Linked DNA regions of Saccharomyces cerevisiae S288C. Changing the gene in region 4 together with the main gene of any one other region gives a genetic interaction. Each region holds a gene or a part of one and is shown on either strand. Other genes may lie near its edges.

Evidence for each region.
Region 1: mutations in YGR237C (region 4) and YMR085W together harm fitness more than expected from each alone (negative genetic interaction), as found in Saccharomyces cerevisiae (one large-scale study listed by BioGRID).
Region 2: mutations in YGR237C (region 4) and MRI1 together harm fitness more than expected from each alone (negative genetic interaction), as found in Saccharomyces cerevisiae (one large-scale study listed by BioGRID).
Region 3: mutations in YGR237C (region 4) and MAM3 together harm fitness more than expected from each alone (negative genetic interaction), as found in Saccharomyces cerevisiae (one large-scale study listed by BioGRID).

What each region holds. Positions count from the first base shown.
Region 1 is NC_001145.3:435,957-440,015, reverse strand, and holds YMR085W (uncharacterized protein), read right to left. Parts: upstream 2,526-4,059; coding exon 1,227-2,525; downstream 1-1,226. Other genes in the region: SEG1 (Seg1p), read right to left, coding at 1-808; YMR084W (putative glutamine--fructose-6-phosphate transaminase), read right to left, coding at 2,600-3,388.
Region 2 is NC_001148.4:765,673-769,646, reverse strand, and holds MRI1 (S-methyl-5-thioribose-1-phosphate isomerase MRI1), read right to left. Parts: upstream 1,896-3,974; coding exon 660-1,895; downstream 1-659. Other genes in the region: HOB2 (Hob2p), read right to left, coding at 2,153-3,974. UniProt on the Saccharomyces cerevisiae protein: Catalyzes the interconversion of methylthioribose-1-phosphate (MTR-1-P) into methylthioribulose-1-phosphate (MTRu-1-P).
Region 3 is NC_001147.6:212,791-218,015, reverse strand, and holds MAM3 (Mam3p), read left to right. Parts: upstream 1-1,878; coding exon 1,879-3,999; downstream 4,000-5,225. Other genes in the region: glycerol-3-phosphate dehydrogenase (NAD(+)) GPD2, read right to left, coding at 1-890; ribose phosphate diphosphokinase subunit PRS5, read right to left, coding at 4,282-5,225. UniProt on the Saccharomyces cerevisiae protein: Involved in metal homeostasis and more specially in manganese sensitivity.
Region 4 is NC_001139.9:962,250-967,386, forward strand, and holds YGR237C (uncharacterized protein), read right to left. Parts: upstream 3,407-5,137; coding exon 1,049-3,406; downstream 1-1,048. Other genes in the region: SPG1 (Spg1p), read right to left, coding at 281-568; KEL2 (Kel2p), read right to left, coding at 3,790-5,137.

The DNA.
Region 1 (4,059 bases), on a different chromosome or scaffold from region 4:
CAAGATTTCTCTCCTGAACCGCCTTTTGGCCTTTTTTTGCTTGTGTACTTGATGTATTCCCTAAAGACGAAGTCTTCTTTGGTTGAGAATGTAAAGATTCCTGCGATACTTTTTTTCTTAAAAGTGAACCATTTCTTGCATTCAAGGCACTGTGGGCAGAGTTGGAACGCCTTAGCAATTTAGAAGTATTGGCATTGCTTGGTTTTTCAACGGGGACCTCAATTGCAACCAGCCCGTTGGGCCCAGGAATATACTTTCGCGTAGTCCTCAAAGGAATAGACCCGCTAGGATTTTCAGTACGGTGTTGTCCCGTTAAAATTCCTCTGGCCTGTGGTCCGCCAAAATCCTTGAACGTACGTTGAGCCTCATCATAGCTTATTCTTTGGTGTGTTTTGGACTTTTGACGTTGTAAACCAGAACTGTTTCTGCTTTGCTGACCTCTCTGGTTAGGGAGACTCGAAGTTCTATTGTGAGACCTAGTTTTGTGCTGCGGTTCCTTCGTTAAAGGAGAATTTAATGAATCTCCCTTCCCCATTGATGACCGTTGGGTAAGGCTGTTTATTTTCCCGGGACGACCTTTACCATCGCTCCTTCTAGATTCCGATGATATACTAGAAATAGAAGACATTCTTTTGGGGGCAGAAGGTTTTCTTAAGTTTGTCATCGAAGCGGATCGATAGGTCGGCCTTTGTTCGTTATCAGATTGATTACCCTTCTTCATTAATAATTTACCGATACTTGCTGCAGCTGCCACTGCTGTCGGGTCCGCCTGTTCCATTTCTGGTGCAGTTGTTCTTCTTCTAAACATTTTTAGGAACGAACGGCTGGTGATTTGTGGAATTGGTTGGTATGGCTACGTGTTGCTGTTGTGTTTTATATGTTTTTATCCAATTTGTCGGTAAAGTAAGGGAGCACTGAAAATTTAGCGAAGAAATGAATACTTCCTTTAAGGTTATCTATCGTCCTTTTTTGCATGTTGACCCTCGCGCCACACGGCCAGCCCGCTGCCGCAGTGAGCTAAAATTGGGCCTGCTTAGCGGCGACGCGACGGGATTTTGCGGATTTACTGTTGACGTTAAAAGATGTGGCAGTGACACCAATTGCAAGAGATTACCTTGACCAATAATTAAGTTATTTGGCTATAGAGTGTGAACATCTATTCTACATACTGCCCAAAATATAAGTACTTGTTTTAATGAAATTAGAAGGAATTAAAGAACACTTTTTTATATATCCGGGGCCGACATCGCCGAGTCCCTTGGCAAATCAACTCCGATGTCTTTCTTGATCGCTAACCAGTAAGAAATTAATTGTAAAGGAATAACGTTAAGTATCCCTTGGAGACAATCTACGGTTTGGGGTACCTCGAGTGTAACAACGTTTCCTTTTTGTTTGTCTTGCTCCCATATCTTATGCCCCTTGTTACAAATGATAATCGGATTGCCCTTCCTTTCTATTATTTGGTCAATGCAAGACGCGATTTTGGGCGAAAAAGCATCCTTTGTCGCAAAGGCGATAATTGGCGGATTATCAGATGCCACAGCTAGGACTCTGTGTCCTAGCTCGTTGGTAAGAATACTTTCAGAATGCACGTAAGAAATTTCTTTCATCTTCGAGGCGCCTTCCAAAGCAGAGGCAAATTGGTAACCTCTTCCTAAAAGCAAAAATGTATCATGCTGTTTTAGTTTCTTGTCACACAATTCAATAATCAATGGTTCAAGCTCCAAAACTTCTTTTATTTGGCTTGGGACTATAGTTAAGGCTTGAATTATTTCTTTCCTCCTTTCTATTTTAGACACCAAATCTTCCGACATCCATAGGGCAATCATGACTAAAGCGATGTATTGAGAAGTATAAGACTTGGTTGTTGCAATACCTTTCTCGGGGCCTGTGTTTGTATGAACACCGCAATGTGTAAATCTTGAGATAGAGGAACCGCTGCAATTAACTACCCCGATTGTGACTGCCTCTTTTTTGATACAGTAGTTCAAAGCATTAATTGTATCAGTTGTCTCCCCACTTCGAGAAACAAATATGCAAACATCGTTCCTGAAAATGCAACAATTGCGGTCAACAAAATCCAAGGCCAATTCAACGTTTACTGGAACTTCCATTAACTCCTCAAAGATGGGACGGGCAGCTAGGCATGAATGGAAGGAGGCCTTGGATGCAATCATTATTATTCGTTTTGCTCTTCTCAATTCTGTCAACCAATTTTCTAGTCCTCCCAAAACTACTCTGTTTGTAAAGGCGTCAACTCTTCCTCTCATGACATTTTTTGTTGTTTCACACTGCTCGTATATTTCCTTTTGCATAAAATTATCGTAAGGGCCTTTTTTGATTTTGGACAACTCCAATTCTAATTTTTGAACTGTTCTAAATGAAAAGTCCTCGGAACCAATTTTAGAACAATGGATATGAAGCTCCCCATCATAGATATGGGCAATATCATTATCCTCCAAATATACTACTTTACTCACATACCGCGCTAGTGATGCACAATCGGATGACAAATAGAATTCCATGGGTCGCGGCAAGCCGTTCTCGGCTGGCGTTTCTGTGGATGAGCCATGATTGAATGTAGAAGTTGTAGAGTTTCTCAGGTATTGTGAACGAAGGGGGGTGACTTCCTTAAACAAGTGTTATATTTTACAGGTGCGGCAGCCAAGACATTACCAGAACTCTTGGTTTGAGTATTAAGCTTCAAGTAGTCTTCTTCTTGATCCAAATATTCCACCTCGACAAAGTTTACGTCCATGTCAGTTTTACCTTTAACACCAATAACTAACGGGGAACCCTTTCTTGCGGCAACCACTTCATCGGGAAAATGAGAAGAAGTGCATAGCAGACCATAAGAGCCTTCCAATTCTTTAAGTACTAAATTTGTTAATACATGGAAATCGAGGTTGTACCCGAGTTCAATGCTTGTATCATAAATGTGTTTGTACAGTTTAGGAATACATTCGGTATCAGTGTCACTTTTGAACACATAGCCCTTTGCCATCAATAAGGCTTTCAAATTAGCGAAGTTGGTAATAACCCCGTTGTGTACCACAACAAATTCATTAGATGGATCTGAGTTATGTGGATGACAATTTGCACGTCTTAGCCCTCCATGTGTTGCCCGCCTAGTATGGGCAATGCCACAATGCGAAATAAAGGGCAGGTTCTTATTAAGATTGTAAAGGTCGATTTCTTCCTTCAAACTGCTTATTTTACCGGTTTGCTTATAAATATTGAGAGACTCCAGCTCATCACCTTGGATCGAAATTCCACTGGAGTCATATTCCTTGTACTCCAATGCCTGTAACCCTTCGATTAAAGTGTCGATGATTTCTCCTCTTGTCTTCTCAATTAAAAAATTGCAATAGCCAAAAATGCCACACATTCTTCTTCTTATATTGGGTTTTTAATCTAGTTTATTGGATCATCTTTTGAAAGTCTTTTTTACAAATTCCTTTTGTTTTATAATTTAATTATAAATGTTCAAAGACGTTTCTGAATTGTAAATATAATTCAGGGGACGGCATCAGTTTGATTCCATACACTACGTGCTAGTCTAGCCCAGCATGACTAAAACGAAAAGGGGCGCCTTTAAAAATGAGGAAGAAATCCAAATCCTAATGACCTTCAAGCGCATTTTTGGGGCTGATGTTTTAGTTCGAATGTCTCCTATTGTTAAAAGAAAGACTGCCTCTTACCTGCTTTGAGAGAGGCTGATTATTAAGAACACAGGACCCTTAAATCGGCGGCTTGTGAAATTTCTCCGAATTAAAATTCTGGATGTTCAAGAAAAATATTCTCTTCGGCCCTTTTATCGTGAGAGTAATATCGAAGTGTGCAAGGAAAAATCAAAAACGTGAAAAAACTTATACGGTTAGGTTTGGGCGGCTCGATGCTTGATGGTGATAATGTCTCTCAAACGTTCTATGTGTCGACGGAAGCCAAATTTGGGCTATTTCCATTATCACTACTTGATATAGAAAAAATACTGGTACTGCTTCTTGATTTAGTGATTAATCTTTGCTCCACTATATATTTATAAACCTCATCATTATA
Region 2 (3,974 bases), on a different chromosome or scaffold from region 4:
GCTCGAGTAATACCGGAGTGTCTTGACAATCCTAATATAAACAGTCTTAGGGAAGTAACCAGTTGTTAAAACAGTTTATCAGATTAATTCACGGAATGTTACTTATCTTATATACTATATAAAATATGAATCATACTAAGTGGTGGAAACGCGGAATCTCGGATCTAAACTAATTGTTCAGGCATTTATACTTTTGGGTAGTTCAGCTAGGGAAGGACGGGTTTTGTCTCATGTTGTTCGTTTTGTTATAAGGTTGTTTCATATGTGTTTTATGAACGTTCAGGATGACGTATTGTCATACTGACATATCTCATTTTGAGATACAACACGCTCCGAAGAACTCATCCTTGTTAGCTCAGTTGGTAGAGCGTTCGGCTTTTAAGCGCATTTGCTTAAGCAAGGATACCGAAATGTCAGGGGTTCGAGCCCCCTATGAGGAGTTCTTTACTTTTTTGCACGTTTTACAAATATGCAGAAACAAAGACAATACATATTGTATCAGTTGGTTATAGTGTTTTGGACTTACAAGGTTCTGACAATATACATTAATGTGTTCCTTTTATTGAATGAAAAAAAAAAATAATTCTTACATCTCAATATGAAATTTTATCCTTTACAGTACAAAAGTAATTATTTCGAGAGTCTAATTAGAATGATATCTAGAAAAGGCTTTCCAGTTGAAATTCACCACTGGAATTTTTGGTAAATACACCTTCTTCTGTGATAATTCCGTCAATAAGCTCATGTGGAGTAATGTCGAAGGCTGGATTCCAGACATTGATTTCAAGAGGGGCAATACCGACCTTTCCAGTGATTGGCTCTCCTGACTCATTCAATATCAAGGAACCATTTTCAGGATTAATTACTGTACCAGTAACAACCTTGAATTCCTCAGGGTTACGTTCTTCCACAATAATGTCATCGCCAGTTTCGGTTACATTATCGATAGTTGTTTTGGGAGCTACTACAAAAAACTTAATTCCGAACTGCTTACAAATTACAGCAAGTTGTAAAGTACCAATTTTATTTGCTGTATCCCCATTACGAACAATTCTATCAGCTCCAACAAATGCTGCTTTGATTGGAATTGGACTAGTTCTAATTCTATACGCGATGGAACTATCAGTAATTAAAGTTGATGGAATCTTATCATAAACTAGCTCGTATGCTGTTAGCCTTGACCCTTGATTATAAGGTCTAGTTTCCAGTGGGAAGACATGGCCCATCCTCGGGCATTTTTCATTGTCCAATCCCGAGTCTGCCTTGTCGGTTTTAGCAAGTGAATCCTTCCACAAAGAACGGATAACACCTAAAGCCGTGCCATATCCAGAGGTTGCTAAGGATCCAGTATTACAAATCGTCAGAACGGCAAATTCGTCCTTGAAACCGTCCTTTTGTAACACGTCAATCAAATACTTAGCTCCATTATCACCCATTTTCATGTTATTCGCCAAATCCTCATCTATCAATTCACAGACGTAATTATATAAACTACCGTCAAAAGCCTTTAGGTCACTTGAGGATTTCAGTATGTTCTTTATCTCTACAAGAGAATTTGATAAATTAACGGCTGTGGGTCTACTACTCAAAAGGAAATCTAGCCTCTTATTTAGCACTGTTTTTGTAGATTCCCAGTTAACTAAAGAATACAGCGTAGCAACATCAGAAGTTGGGTTGTGTTTTATTAATTGTACCTCAGTCAAAACAGATAACGAACCCACAATTGCAATTGCCGGGGCACCTCTCACCTGCATACTTTTGATGACTGAGTACCCATCATCAATTGTGTGAATTGGAACGTATTTAGTAGTATATGGTAAAAGTAATTGATCAAGTACCTTTACCGAAACATTTTCTGGCTCCGATCTATCAAAGACGATGGCTTCCAACGACATTTTTTGTCAGCAGTTTGATAGATCACTTTGTCGGTCGTAGATATTGCTCTTAATCTTTTTATTCTAGCATGCTAAATTGATGAATGGGGAATACTTTGGCCGTGCGCCCCATCATCTCATCTTAGTAAGTGAAAAACCGGAAAAACTAACGCCAAGAAGGCCTGTAAAAAAAAAATCTTACTGATTTTCATTTTAGTATATAATACAATTACTATATAACTGAAGAATATTTACGCTAGACACATGTGTGTGTTTCCTCATTTATTTTTTGAAAACTCACTCGTAACAGGGTAAAATGGCTTTACTCCATTTCCATCATTTTCATTATACGTTTCATCTGAGTTTATTGATCTGATATCTGAAGAGTGCGTGGAGCTATAAAATGAATTATGCCCTTCGACTTCAAGGATATGTGAATTATCACGATTTTGAGAATCTGGACTTAGTAATCGATGTATTTCCATAGAAGTTTTTTTCTTATTCTCTTTTTTATGAGGCAAAAATTTGTTACCAATAATATTTCCCAAATGTTGTAAAACTATTCTTACGACGTCTCTTTTCAAAGCAGTAAAAAATTCTTCCCTCGACCACAGTTTGTTATGGTACTTTAAAACAGGGACTCTAACAATCAGGTTATTAACATCGGTCAAAAGGCTGTGTGAACCCTTATAACACACGGACATTAGAGTTTTTCGGATTATAATAGATTTTACATTGAAAAATGTCCCTGATCTTTTGACCATTTCATTGATGTTATAATCAGGTTGCACAAAAAGTGATGCTGACAATTTTCTATGATCACCCTTATGCTTTTTGATACCTTCTTTGCTCTGGATACTACGCAAGTCCCAAGAGTCAACGTCTTTCGCATCGTACACAGATAAAGAACCGTTAGAAAGACTGTGCCGTAAAACTGGAGACGATGAAAAGAAGGAACTAGTGGAAGAACGTGGTACAAGTTCTGGAGAATTGGGTTCTATGGAAGTTTGTTCTATCTTTGGAAATAGATAATTCATTAGTTTTTCCGATGTTTTGTGATCCATCTTGAAAATCAATGGCTGTAGAGAAACAATCAAATCTTGCAGATCTGAAATACCTCCAACTGATGGCCCCAGGATCCAAAAAATTTCTACCATTGGCGCGTTCTTATTATAGGATGAATTTTCATAAAAGGGGGCCAGCAATTCAGTGTAAACGGGATTTTCTTGCTGGTTGAAACATTGTAAGGAAGAAATGGATACTTTATTACTATTAGTGCCATCGGAAGTTTCTGAACGAATAAATGTAGAGGGCCCCAATCCGATAGTCACGAAAGGAGTTTTACTCTCATCGTACAATTCCCATATCAATTCATCTGTTCCAACTTGCCACCTCAATCTTTTCTGTATTACTCTATTACCACTCCCCATCCGGTCGTAAGTTTTCTTGATTGCCGTCATAAGTAACGTCAACTTCAACGTACTAGTTTGAATATCGAAGGTTAGCTCTTGTCCTGATTTCATAAACAATCTTGGCTCGTGAAGTTTGAGGTATGCTCGCGTATAATAGAGTTCCTTTATTCTTTCTTGTAATGCTGTGACAACAGAGACATCAAGATTTTCCAGGTTATTTCTGACCTCATCAGTAAATAATATCCTGGAAAGTTTCTCAACTTTTTCATCCAATGATGATCCAAAGGAAAGTAAATCTTCTGCGATTGCATATACAGCGCAGTATTGTTGACAGTCCGAGGTCAGAACCAATCCTGGAAATGCAATACGAAATCTCGAATCATAAGAGAATGCAGACGTATCATTTGCACTAAAAAATAGGGGATTGGGAGCGACGTAGGTCAAAAACATTGATCTCCGTTTTAGAAAAACATGCTTATCTAATAAAGACCCGTCAAAGCACATTTCAAGAGGAATCCATGGGGGCCATATATCTGACTCTTTGTCGGAACCATATCCATTTTTATGGAAAAATCTACCTTCAGGACCCTCTAAATCCTTTTTGAACAATGTAAACAACTGAATGTCCTTTGAAACAGCGGAATAGCGAGTTTCAACAATAGTATCGACGTCAACGGGAATTCTTTTT
Region 3 (5,225 bases), on a different chromosome or scaffold from region 4:
ACGACGTTCTTCAAGGCACCGGCAATGGATATACCAGCAACATCATCGATGACATTGACGTGGAAGTAAGGTCTGTGGAACAGCAATTTCAAAATCTTATGATCTACATCCTTGCCATCACCTTGATAATCCTTTGGTAGTTGGTAAGCCACGGTGGTTTCGGACCAATGCTCCTTGGCCACTTCCGGTGCCAAGTTTGCACCAGATAGTGCGCCACATTGGATTCCTAACTCATCAGTAACATAGGAGGATAGCAATTGCACACCCTTGGAGCCCAACTCGAACCCTTTTAGACACGAGATGGCCCTTACATGAGGGGCCACGTGGCCTTGCAATTGTTTGACTATGTTTGGTAAAAATTGATGAGGGATGTTGAAAACAAGGATGTCAGCACCCTTGATGGAGTGTAAAAGATCAGGATCGGCCACTAGATTATGGGGCAGGTCAATATTGGGTAGATATTTAACGTTCTGGTGTCTTGTATTTATGATATCCGTCAGATTTTCGTCGCCGATCTTTTCATCAAAAACCCACATTCTCACCTCTGGCTCGAAGATATGGGAATGCAATTCTGTGTTTTCCGCAATGACTTTGGCGATGGTGGTCCCCCAGTTACCAGAACCAATCACTGTAACCTTGAAGGGCGCACGTTTCAAATGTACAATTGACACGGCAGAGTCCGATCTTCTGATAGGATGGTCCTCATGACAGTGTTTGTGCTGTTTGATATTAGTATGAGCAGTCATCTTTGAGTGCAGTTGTGTTTGTAATAATGATCTTCTTAGGAAAGTAGATCTTGAAGGCAAAATTTTATATGCACGACGAGTATATAACACCGGATGCGTTCGCTTAAGGAATGTGTATCTTGTTAATCTTCTGACAGCAAGCATTGATAAGGAAGGGGAGCGAAGGAAAAGGAAAGGGAAAGAGAATTGAATCTACCAAAATACATAAACTTAAAAATTAATATATAAAAAAAAAATCTAAAGGAGTAGAAAGAAGAACCCAAGGATAAATCAAGGAAAAAGCTTAGTGGAAGGAAAAAAAACTAGAAAAAAAGTAACAAGAAAAAAAGGCAAGAAGAAAAAAAAGTAAAACCAAAAAAAAAAAAAAAAAATACTAGAATGACAGGGTAGAGAAGAGCTGCTGAACAATAGATTAATCGGAATAACAATGGCAATAGGTCCGTAAGCTAAACACTCTTCCCCTCAGCAACCCATCGGCACCTCGCCGCAAAAGCGTAATATAACAATGGCAGAGCCATCGTCGTCTTATTGTTTCGAGCATACTCAAACCTTCTTCATCATGTGAAGGAAAACAAACTCGGTAATGATGATGACTGAATCTTAGAAGATACACGCTTGCATGATGGCTATGGCTAGAGGCTAAGGCGATATGATGGTGATGGTGACGGTGATGGTAATTCCTTGCTCCAGTTTTTATTTTTCGCCCTCCCGAATTGCTGTCATCAACGGGTGGGGTGGGTGATGGCTCAGGATTAGCTCATCGCGCACGGTTACCTGGGGGCGGTGCCTGGGTTGAGGAAGGCGCGGGTGCTCGGATGTTCCGATAAAATAACCGGAGTTTGTAACGTACAGAGTGAGATATACCCTAGGGCATACCGTTCATTAAAGCAGGGTATTATCATAGAAACGAAGTCAGGGTTAGGGCTAGTATTTGTTTTCTTTCTTCATTCTTTTGGTTTCTTTAAATTCTAAATTAGCAAATGGGAAAAAAGGGACGACCTTGGTGATTGCACATAGGCTTTCCCCATTCGTGCTTGTTTGCTTATTACATAATAAAAAAAGAGTTGATATCGTCACAGTTACTTGCTGCTGCGTCTGTTATTTGCACGAAACTCTCCCCACTATAATAGATATGTCGTTTTTGCCACTAAGGTCTAGGTCACGATCAGGCGCTCCTCATTGGGTATACATCATCTTATATCACATCTTTACGATACCGAAGATATATTCACTGCCGTTGTTATCCGGATCACACGTACTCAATTCTAGGGATGTTGCCGATTCCGGCCATAGCGTAGGTGATGAGGCAAGCGTTACCACGTACTATATTATCTCTATCATCCTAGTGCTGCTGGGTGGTGTATTTGCAGGATTGACGCTGGGGTTGATGGGTCAAGATGAAGTCTACCTGAAGGTAATCAGCACTTCAGGCTCGAATTCTGAAAAGAAACTGGCCAAGCGGGTGCTTGACCTAATATCTAGGGGGAAGCATTGGGTTCTAGTCACACTGCTGCTTTCTAATGTTATAACCAACGAAACATTGCCTATTGTTTTGGACAGGTGTCTTGGGGGTGGTTGGCAGGCTGTAGTGTCGTCAACTATTCTAATTGTGATCTTCGGTGAAATTATTCCGCAGAGTGTCTGTGTTAAATACGGGCTGCAAGTTGGGGCATTCTTCTGCCCCTTTGTTCTTGTACTGATGTATCTGATGTACCCAGTCGCATATCCGATCGCGACTCTCCTGGACTATATGCTGGGTGAAGATCATGGTACGATGTACAAAAAATCCGGCTTAAAGACTTTGGTCACCTTGCATAGGACCATGGGGGTGGAACGGTTGACTAAAGACGAAGTTACAATCATCTCTGCTGTTTTGGATCTAAAGGCAAAGAGGGTTGAGGAAATCATGACTCCGATTGAAAACGTGTTCACAATGAGTGCCGATACCATCCTAGACGATAAAACTGTCGAAAAAATCTTCAACTCAGGGTTTTCTAGAATCCCGATTTTTTTGCCCAATGAACCAAACAACTTCATCGGCATGTTACTTGTCAGGGTGCTTATCTCCTACGATCCTGATGACTGCCTCCCAATCTCCCACTTCCCCCTAGCCACGTTGCCAGAAACTTCCCCGAACACATCTTGTTTGAATATTCTGAATTACTTCCAGGAGGGGAAAGCTCACATGTGCGTCGTTAGTAAAGAGCCGGGCTCCTCGCATGGCGCTATTGGTGTTTTAACTTTGGAGGATGTCATTGAAGAATTGATCGGTGAAGAAATCGTGGACGAGTCTGATGTCTTTGTGGACATGCATCAGCATATTATGAGACAACAACCGGGGCCCTTGAGCAAAAGGCACATTACTTCCTATTTGCATCATTTGTACACTAGCTCTCACAAGGAGCACAAAGCTGCTGACCAAGCTGATGAATCGTCTCCACTCTTGTCTCCATCCAATTCTAATCACCCATCCGAGCACCCACAGCAAGATTTGAATAATAAGTCTTGGAAGCAGAAGTCAAATGATGGTTACGACAGGTCCAACGCTGTATTGTCTCCAACTCCACAAGTGACGGAACATGGCACCATCATACCTTCAAATCTAGCGTCCAACCCGTTGAACGTAAATAAATCTTTTGTTACCATTAAAAAGCCTGCCAATGTTCCGAAAATCATTACTACACACACTCCTCATTCTAGCAAAGAGCCTTCTCCAGCACCACACTCAAATGATAAATCACTCTCCGCCGAAGAACAACAACTATTAAGTGATCATGCAGAGCTATCTCGCCAAGCTGTTCTCCATACTCAACGGTCGGGTCAACCAACTCAAGTTACTACCTCGACTAAAACCACGAGAAATAGCCCTGATAGTATATCAATTCCAAATTCTGGCGCGAATCACGGCAACGAAAATCAAAACGTTACAATCTCAACCTCTTACCAAAATACGAAGAATGGTATTGTGGAATCTGTCATCACAGTCAAAGGTGTTCCAAAAACCATCATTGGCCCCGCAAAAGATTGGGACGAATCCAAAAGTGAATATGGAAACGAGAATATCAATCAAGAGAATTCTAATCGAAGTGACGATAGAGAAAGTTCAAGTTCAAATGCAAGTTTATTTTCCAGTATTAAGAATAAATTTAAGAACGAAAACGCTAACAACAATGATCGTTCTAATTTCACCGACTCTTTGTCAAGAACTTCCAATTATGATGCCAACGGCTCCTCGTCGACCATAAAAAGATGAAGAGATTATGCCAAAAGAATTGCCCATGCATCATAATAACCATCATCACCGTTCTTATTAGTCCCAGACGCATGAAATCACAGGGGAGAGCAGCTTAAAATTTTTTCTACAGACATACAAGAAGAAATTGCAGTTTTTTTTTTTTTGTTTCTCTAACCTATAAATAAAATGTTTCAATACACATACTAAACAAAGAAAAAAAAATGTAGAGAATTTTATACGCAAAATATATAGACACTTTCCCCTATTTTTATCAATAAAAAAATGAACACATCAATGCCACTACCATCCATGCTCGAACAACATAGAAATGGATTCACCGTTATGGATTCTTCTAATTGCTTCACCGATTATGCAGGAGACATCAATAACATCCACTCTGTCCTTACCTAGGTACTGTAGTGTTCTATCTTGAGGAACCGTGTTAGAAATGATCAACTTATCTATACTACTTTGGCCGATTCTTTCTAGCGCATCACCGGAAAAAACACCGTGCGTTATTAAGGCATAAACTTTGGTAGATCCTTGATCCTTCAACAATTTCGCAGCTCTTGTAATAGTGTATGAAGTATCCACCAAGTCGTCGACTATAATACACACCTTGTTTCTAACATCGCCAACAAGCATGGTAGTTTGAACGAACTTGGACGAATTAGAAGATTGCGACGAGGTGGAAGATGTTGAAGTTGTTTTCTTCATTTCAAGGGCCGCAACCCCAGTGGCACCTGAAGAAGTAGTATTTTGGGAGGAAACCAAAGTAGTAACTAATGGCCTTGGAGATACTGGTAACGAACCACCAGAGGTTAACGTCGCATCTGGAGGGCCCTTCAATAACTGAGATCTTCTTTCTTTATGAATTAGGGCGAAGGACAATTCCAAGGCGTCTGCAATAGCCGTAGCTCTCTTTGCACCACCAGCATCTGGAGAAACGATCACAGCATCCTGATAATCTGGAATGCGATGCTGGATGTAGTTTTGTGCAATGGGTTTACAGTAGAGATTATCCACTGGAATGTCAAAAAACCCAGGGAACTGTGGATCGTGCAAATCCATTGTGATCACATGGTCAGCACCTGCAGCACTCAACAAATGAGCAATCAAAGTACCGGCTTGTACTACCCATAGCTTATAGCCTGCATTTTGAGCGTTGAACAATTCACCAGCGTCCGTGCTATTGCTTGTATTTTGTAACTTACCACCGGGAATCATAGGAATTCTTGAAAAAG
Region 4 (5,137 bases):
TTTGCAATGAATCCCCTCATCAATCATTTATGCTAGTTGAATATTTACTAACAGTAACAATAATAGCAGTGCATTAGAGGCTTTATTGCGTCATAAAATAAATATCAGTTCAATTAATGTATAAAAGAAAATGCTTATATATGTATTGATTAATAACCTTCTCAATGATGGGAGGGGCCTTATGTAAAATCACAATCCCCTTCCCCGTTTGTCGTACTATGATTAAATGCGAAAACAAAATGCAAAGAACATAAATGCAGGGAACCAAGTACAAATTCCCTTACATGATTGAAGAGAACATCAAATACGTTACTTCATCATCATCCATCATCTCTTGTAAACTCTTACCCTTCGTCATAGCTGCTCTCTGTTCTGTACCCATAACAGACGCCTTAGTTGTGTCTACGCCGTTGATGTTGTCTAAGCTATGTGCAGGAACCGTATAGCCTCTCCTCATGTATGCGGTCGGTACCACAGCAGCGCCCACCAGCCCTAACATAATATATCTAAACTTTGGAGTTCTCACAACTCTTTGTGCCTCTGAGTATATTCCTGAATCTAACTTCATTTCAGTAAACTTTGTTTGAATTTTATGCGCTAAATATTTGTATTGATTGTATTTATTGATTCTGATCCTTCAGTAACACACATTCCAAACTATCCTGGATAATGTGAAAGAGATTTGGCAGTTCAATTTATATGAAGAAGACCCTCACGTCGCGAAGCATTTTTAACAGTGTTATCCCAGTATCCCGTAATTCTTCTCTTCATCCAATGCTGGCCATTACTCCATTTATTGGGGTGATGTAGGCTTCTTATCCCTTTTAAAGGGTACCTTATTGATCTCCCTTTTCGGTGCGGCTGATGAAATCTATAGAGCAAACCGAAGTAAAACAAAATTACGAAAAGAAATATAACATTATATCTTTATCAAAATGTATGTATGGAGGAGTAACAGCTGAAAACCCCCGTTGTGAGTGGTTTATGATTGTTTTCACGCTTATTTTGTCTTCTATATCTTTGCTGATTTTACTTGTATTAATCCGGTTCATCCGAAAACTTTTTTGAAGATCGAGCCAAATTTACTTTTTTTCTTCTTTTCAGACCTTTTAAATTGATGGTCGTTTGTTGAGGATGAGGAACTGTCCTTTTTGCTGTTGCCTGATTTGGTGCTTTCGGTAGTTTTCGTCCTTGAAACGTGGTTGTGGTGATGGTGGTGGTGATGCGCTTTTCTCTGTCCTGAAGAAGATGAAGTGGAGGATGTTCTGGGTGATAGCCCTGCGGATTTTGTTTTTCTCATTGGATGTGAAGTGAACTTCATTTTCGGATCCTCATTGTCCCATTTTAGTGCTGTCTTGATATGAGGCGTAGAGGCAGTTTCGTGGTTGTAAATGTCATCAACCATGGACTTTACTTTATAAATGCCGTTATTGTTGAATTGTATTCTTGAACTCCGCTTTGAGCTGCGCCTCGAATTTCTCGATTCTATAGGAGTTAGCTTTCGGCCAGAACTGTCGTACTTCATAAGAGTGTTATCATCCAATAGTACTTGTCTCGACGGTTTTGGTCTAACATATCCCATCTTATCGAAGAATTCCATTTCTTCCTTTTTTTCAGGTGAGATTGGGAAGTACTCATTTACAGAGGTTACTGACTCATCACTATCGCTTTCTTCATCATCCGAATCAACCACTTTATGTTTTGTGAAAGGGTTTTCCAAAGTTCTCCTGATTAATGCACTTAGCCATTGCAATCGTTCCTTTTTTCTCACTTCCGTTTTCAAATCATCGCTGTTGTCCTGTTCATCTTTATCCACTCTAGGTTTTATTAAAAGCTCAGGCTTGATGAATTCGAATGGGACAACAAATGCTGGCATTGCAAAGTGTTTCATTAAAAAAAATGGTAGTTTCACTTTTCCATTTCTAAACTTGATTTGAATGTTGGCACTAACGGTGCTGATTACTTGCAAACTTGGCCTATACAGAGAGGTCGCAGATATTATGGCTGATCTTGTTGAATTTTCTTTTACCATCTCAATACTAATCCTAACTATTTTAGTTGCCAATCTTCTCGCGTAGTAATTTAAAATATCGCTACAAGTTTGCTTAGCCTCATTATGAATAGCTTCTATTCTTATTCCCGTTGATAAAGGACTAGAGAGATCCGGGCCTATAAGGCTATGTGACGCGGTAGTCATGCTTTCACTAGTATTGCTAGTCATCCTTTCTAAGCGGTGCCTTCTTTTCTCCTTATATGCTAGAGTATCAATCTTTGCTTCAAACTCAGGAATTGTAGTAATTATGACTAAATGATCACCATTTCTTGTCAAATTTTCAACATACCAGTCCACAGATGACCAAGTATATCTCCTACCTGATATATAACACGAAACAACTCTTAAATCTACATCGTCATCTTTGTCTTTGCAATTGAGCTTTTCTTTTGTATTGGAAATATAATTTTCATAGTCTGGATGATCAATTGTCATTGAAATTGCATTGTGAACAATTGTAGGCCTTGATGGATAAATTGCTGCTAAAGGGTCCGTCACGTTGCTTGAATCCGTTTTTGACTCTGTTGTGTTCAAATAGACTGGAACTTGCTCACCAAAATCAAATTGATCTATTTTAGTCTTGTTCGATCTTCCTTTACTTATATAAAATTCCTCTAATTTGGCTAATTCTTCGTCTGTCATCCCGGCAAACGACTTGGACCTTTTCTTTGAGCTCTCCATATTTTCGCTTTCGGATAAATCTACCATTGACTTGGTCTCAATTCTATCTTCAACTTCATTAAGATTGGCAAATGCAGCTTGCGTATAGCCTTTCCTTGATCCAGAATTTTTTTGAGTGTTTCTTTCGGTCATTTTGGTCATTTTTCTTTCCAGCTCAAAATCCAAATCACCAATATCAATATCATCAATAGGGCCCTGTTCATCAGCAGCTTTTCGAGATTTTTTTAGCACGGATACTTTTGGAGGGGGAGGCAACCTCACTGAAGTCCTTCTTCTTGACCTGAACATTGGAGACTCACTTCTACTTCTTTCAACGCTGGGCGATCTCAAATAGCTTTTGGAGGGATCATGTGCTGCAGGAGAAAATACCTGAGTATAGAAGTGAGGAACTCCAGATGTTGTAGACGTTGGAGTTCCTAGTTGTAGTGGCGAAGAAGCTTCTTCGTCTTCGGGTGAGTCCAAGCTTTCGTCAGTGGCAAGGTCATTAGAGCCATGGCTACCGGTCAAAGTATTTTTGTAAACAGGATTAAATTGTGGAGGTATATGTAAAAAATGATTATTCAAGCCAACATGGTGACTGTCATTTTTAATAATGGTAGCTTGGTCATCAATTAAGGAAGGTGCCAGATCATCAAACGAGATATGCTTAGTAAATGTCTTTGCAGATGACATCTTCTATTATTTTTATTAGATATTAGCAGTTTGCCAGGGATTACAGCTTCTCCCTTATGTACAGTGCGACAATATTCTTTTTTTCAATGTGTCTTTTTATTCATTCTTCTGAACAGTTTCGCTTCGTTAAGGGTCCTTCTGGCTTTCTAGAGGCATGCTCACCTAAAATCCCCCTAGAAAAGCGGGCTCTTTACCCGGCGAATAATAATAACCGCGGCTACTAATTTTGCACCATTGAATATTAACCTCAAAAGGCTTAGTTGGCAATTATATTCTCCTTCTATTAATACTTAATGTTTACAATGTCCTTATAGGTGTTTAAATATATTTTTATATACTTTGTACATATTGACTTCCCAGTGCGTAACAACGTCTTCCAATGACTATTTTTTTTGTTCGAGAGTATATAGTTTTTTTTTTAAAGCTAGCAGTTCGTCCTTGAGGGAATCTCTATTTTCTTTCGACATATACAGTTCCGCTTTCAGATTGTTGATTTTCATTCTGTGGAACGCATCAAAATTTCCATGAGTGATGGCGCCACGCTGTTCCTGCTTGTCATCCTGTTCAGCTTGTTCAGTTTTAATTCTATCAATCTCCTTCTGTAAATCGTCGTTGTTTTTACGATATTTTTCGAGCTCGGATTGTGATAGGTGAATAGCCTTCTTTGTTAGGTCCATAGACTTCGAGCTTCCATCAGAGAGTTTTCTTAGCGCATCCAACTTGTTGTTATTGTCGAGTAAATTAGCCCGCAAAGAATCTCTTTCATCATTAAGCTTCTGAGTTTCAAGGTGCAATTTCTCTTTAGCACGCACGGTTTCGTGCATTTCATTTATTACTTTTTCTATTTTGTTCAGCGAATCTTTCTCATATATTTGATTATCTTTCTCACTTGAAGGTGGCCGTGCACTGGTAGGATAGCTTTTTAATAATTTACCCAGATAGCAGGACGATTCGTTCAAATAGGTATGAAGTTCGGGGGTTATTTTTTGCATATTATTTACAAGTATTTCGTTCTGGCGCTTCAAAACATCACATTTATTCTCAAGATCGATGATATCCCTTTTAATAGTGACATGTTCGGAGCATGTTTTAAGTCCATTATTTTGAATCGTAATTTGGTCACAGAGTTTACTTGCCTGAGATAATTTGACCATCAATAAATTTTTTAAATCATTAATTCTAGATTCTAAAAAGGTTTTCTGAATTTCTAGATTTTTAAGCCGTGCTGTTTGAAAATTTGAATCTTTTGAAGCTTCTTTTATTACCATGAGTCTCTGGACTTCCTTTTCTAATTGTGAAATATGTCTAGCAGTTTCAAGTTCCTTTTGTTGAGCTTCGAGACGTAATGTTTGTAGGTTCAGGTTTAAATCATCAAAAAGATTTTTGGGAATTCCTTTTTGACATGATGTGTCCTTATATGAAGAAGAGCCATACTCTTCTGAATCCACTGTTAGTCCTCGTAGAACAGGGAAATTTTTTTTAGATACTTTGATACCAGTTCCCGGACTTTCCTTATTGATGCTTGAATCAACTTTGGAAGATTGGGGTTTCTTTTCCTCCCTATCTGATTTTCGTTCAAATGCCTTATCATCCAAAGCGCTGGAGTAACTTCCAGCCCCTTCATCAATATCATTATAACTCAAAACTTTGCTATCAGGCAATCTTGGTGTAAGAATGTTTATTATCTCTTGATTTTCACTTTCGGTAGACTTAGAGGGTGTAAAGCCCCCG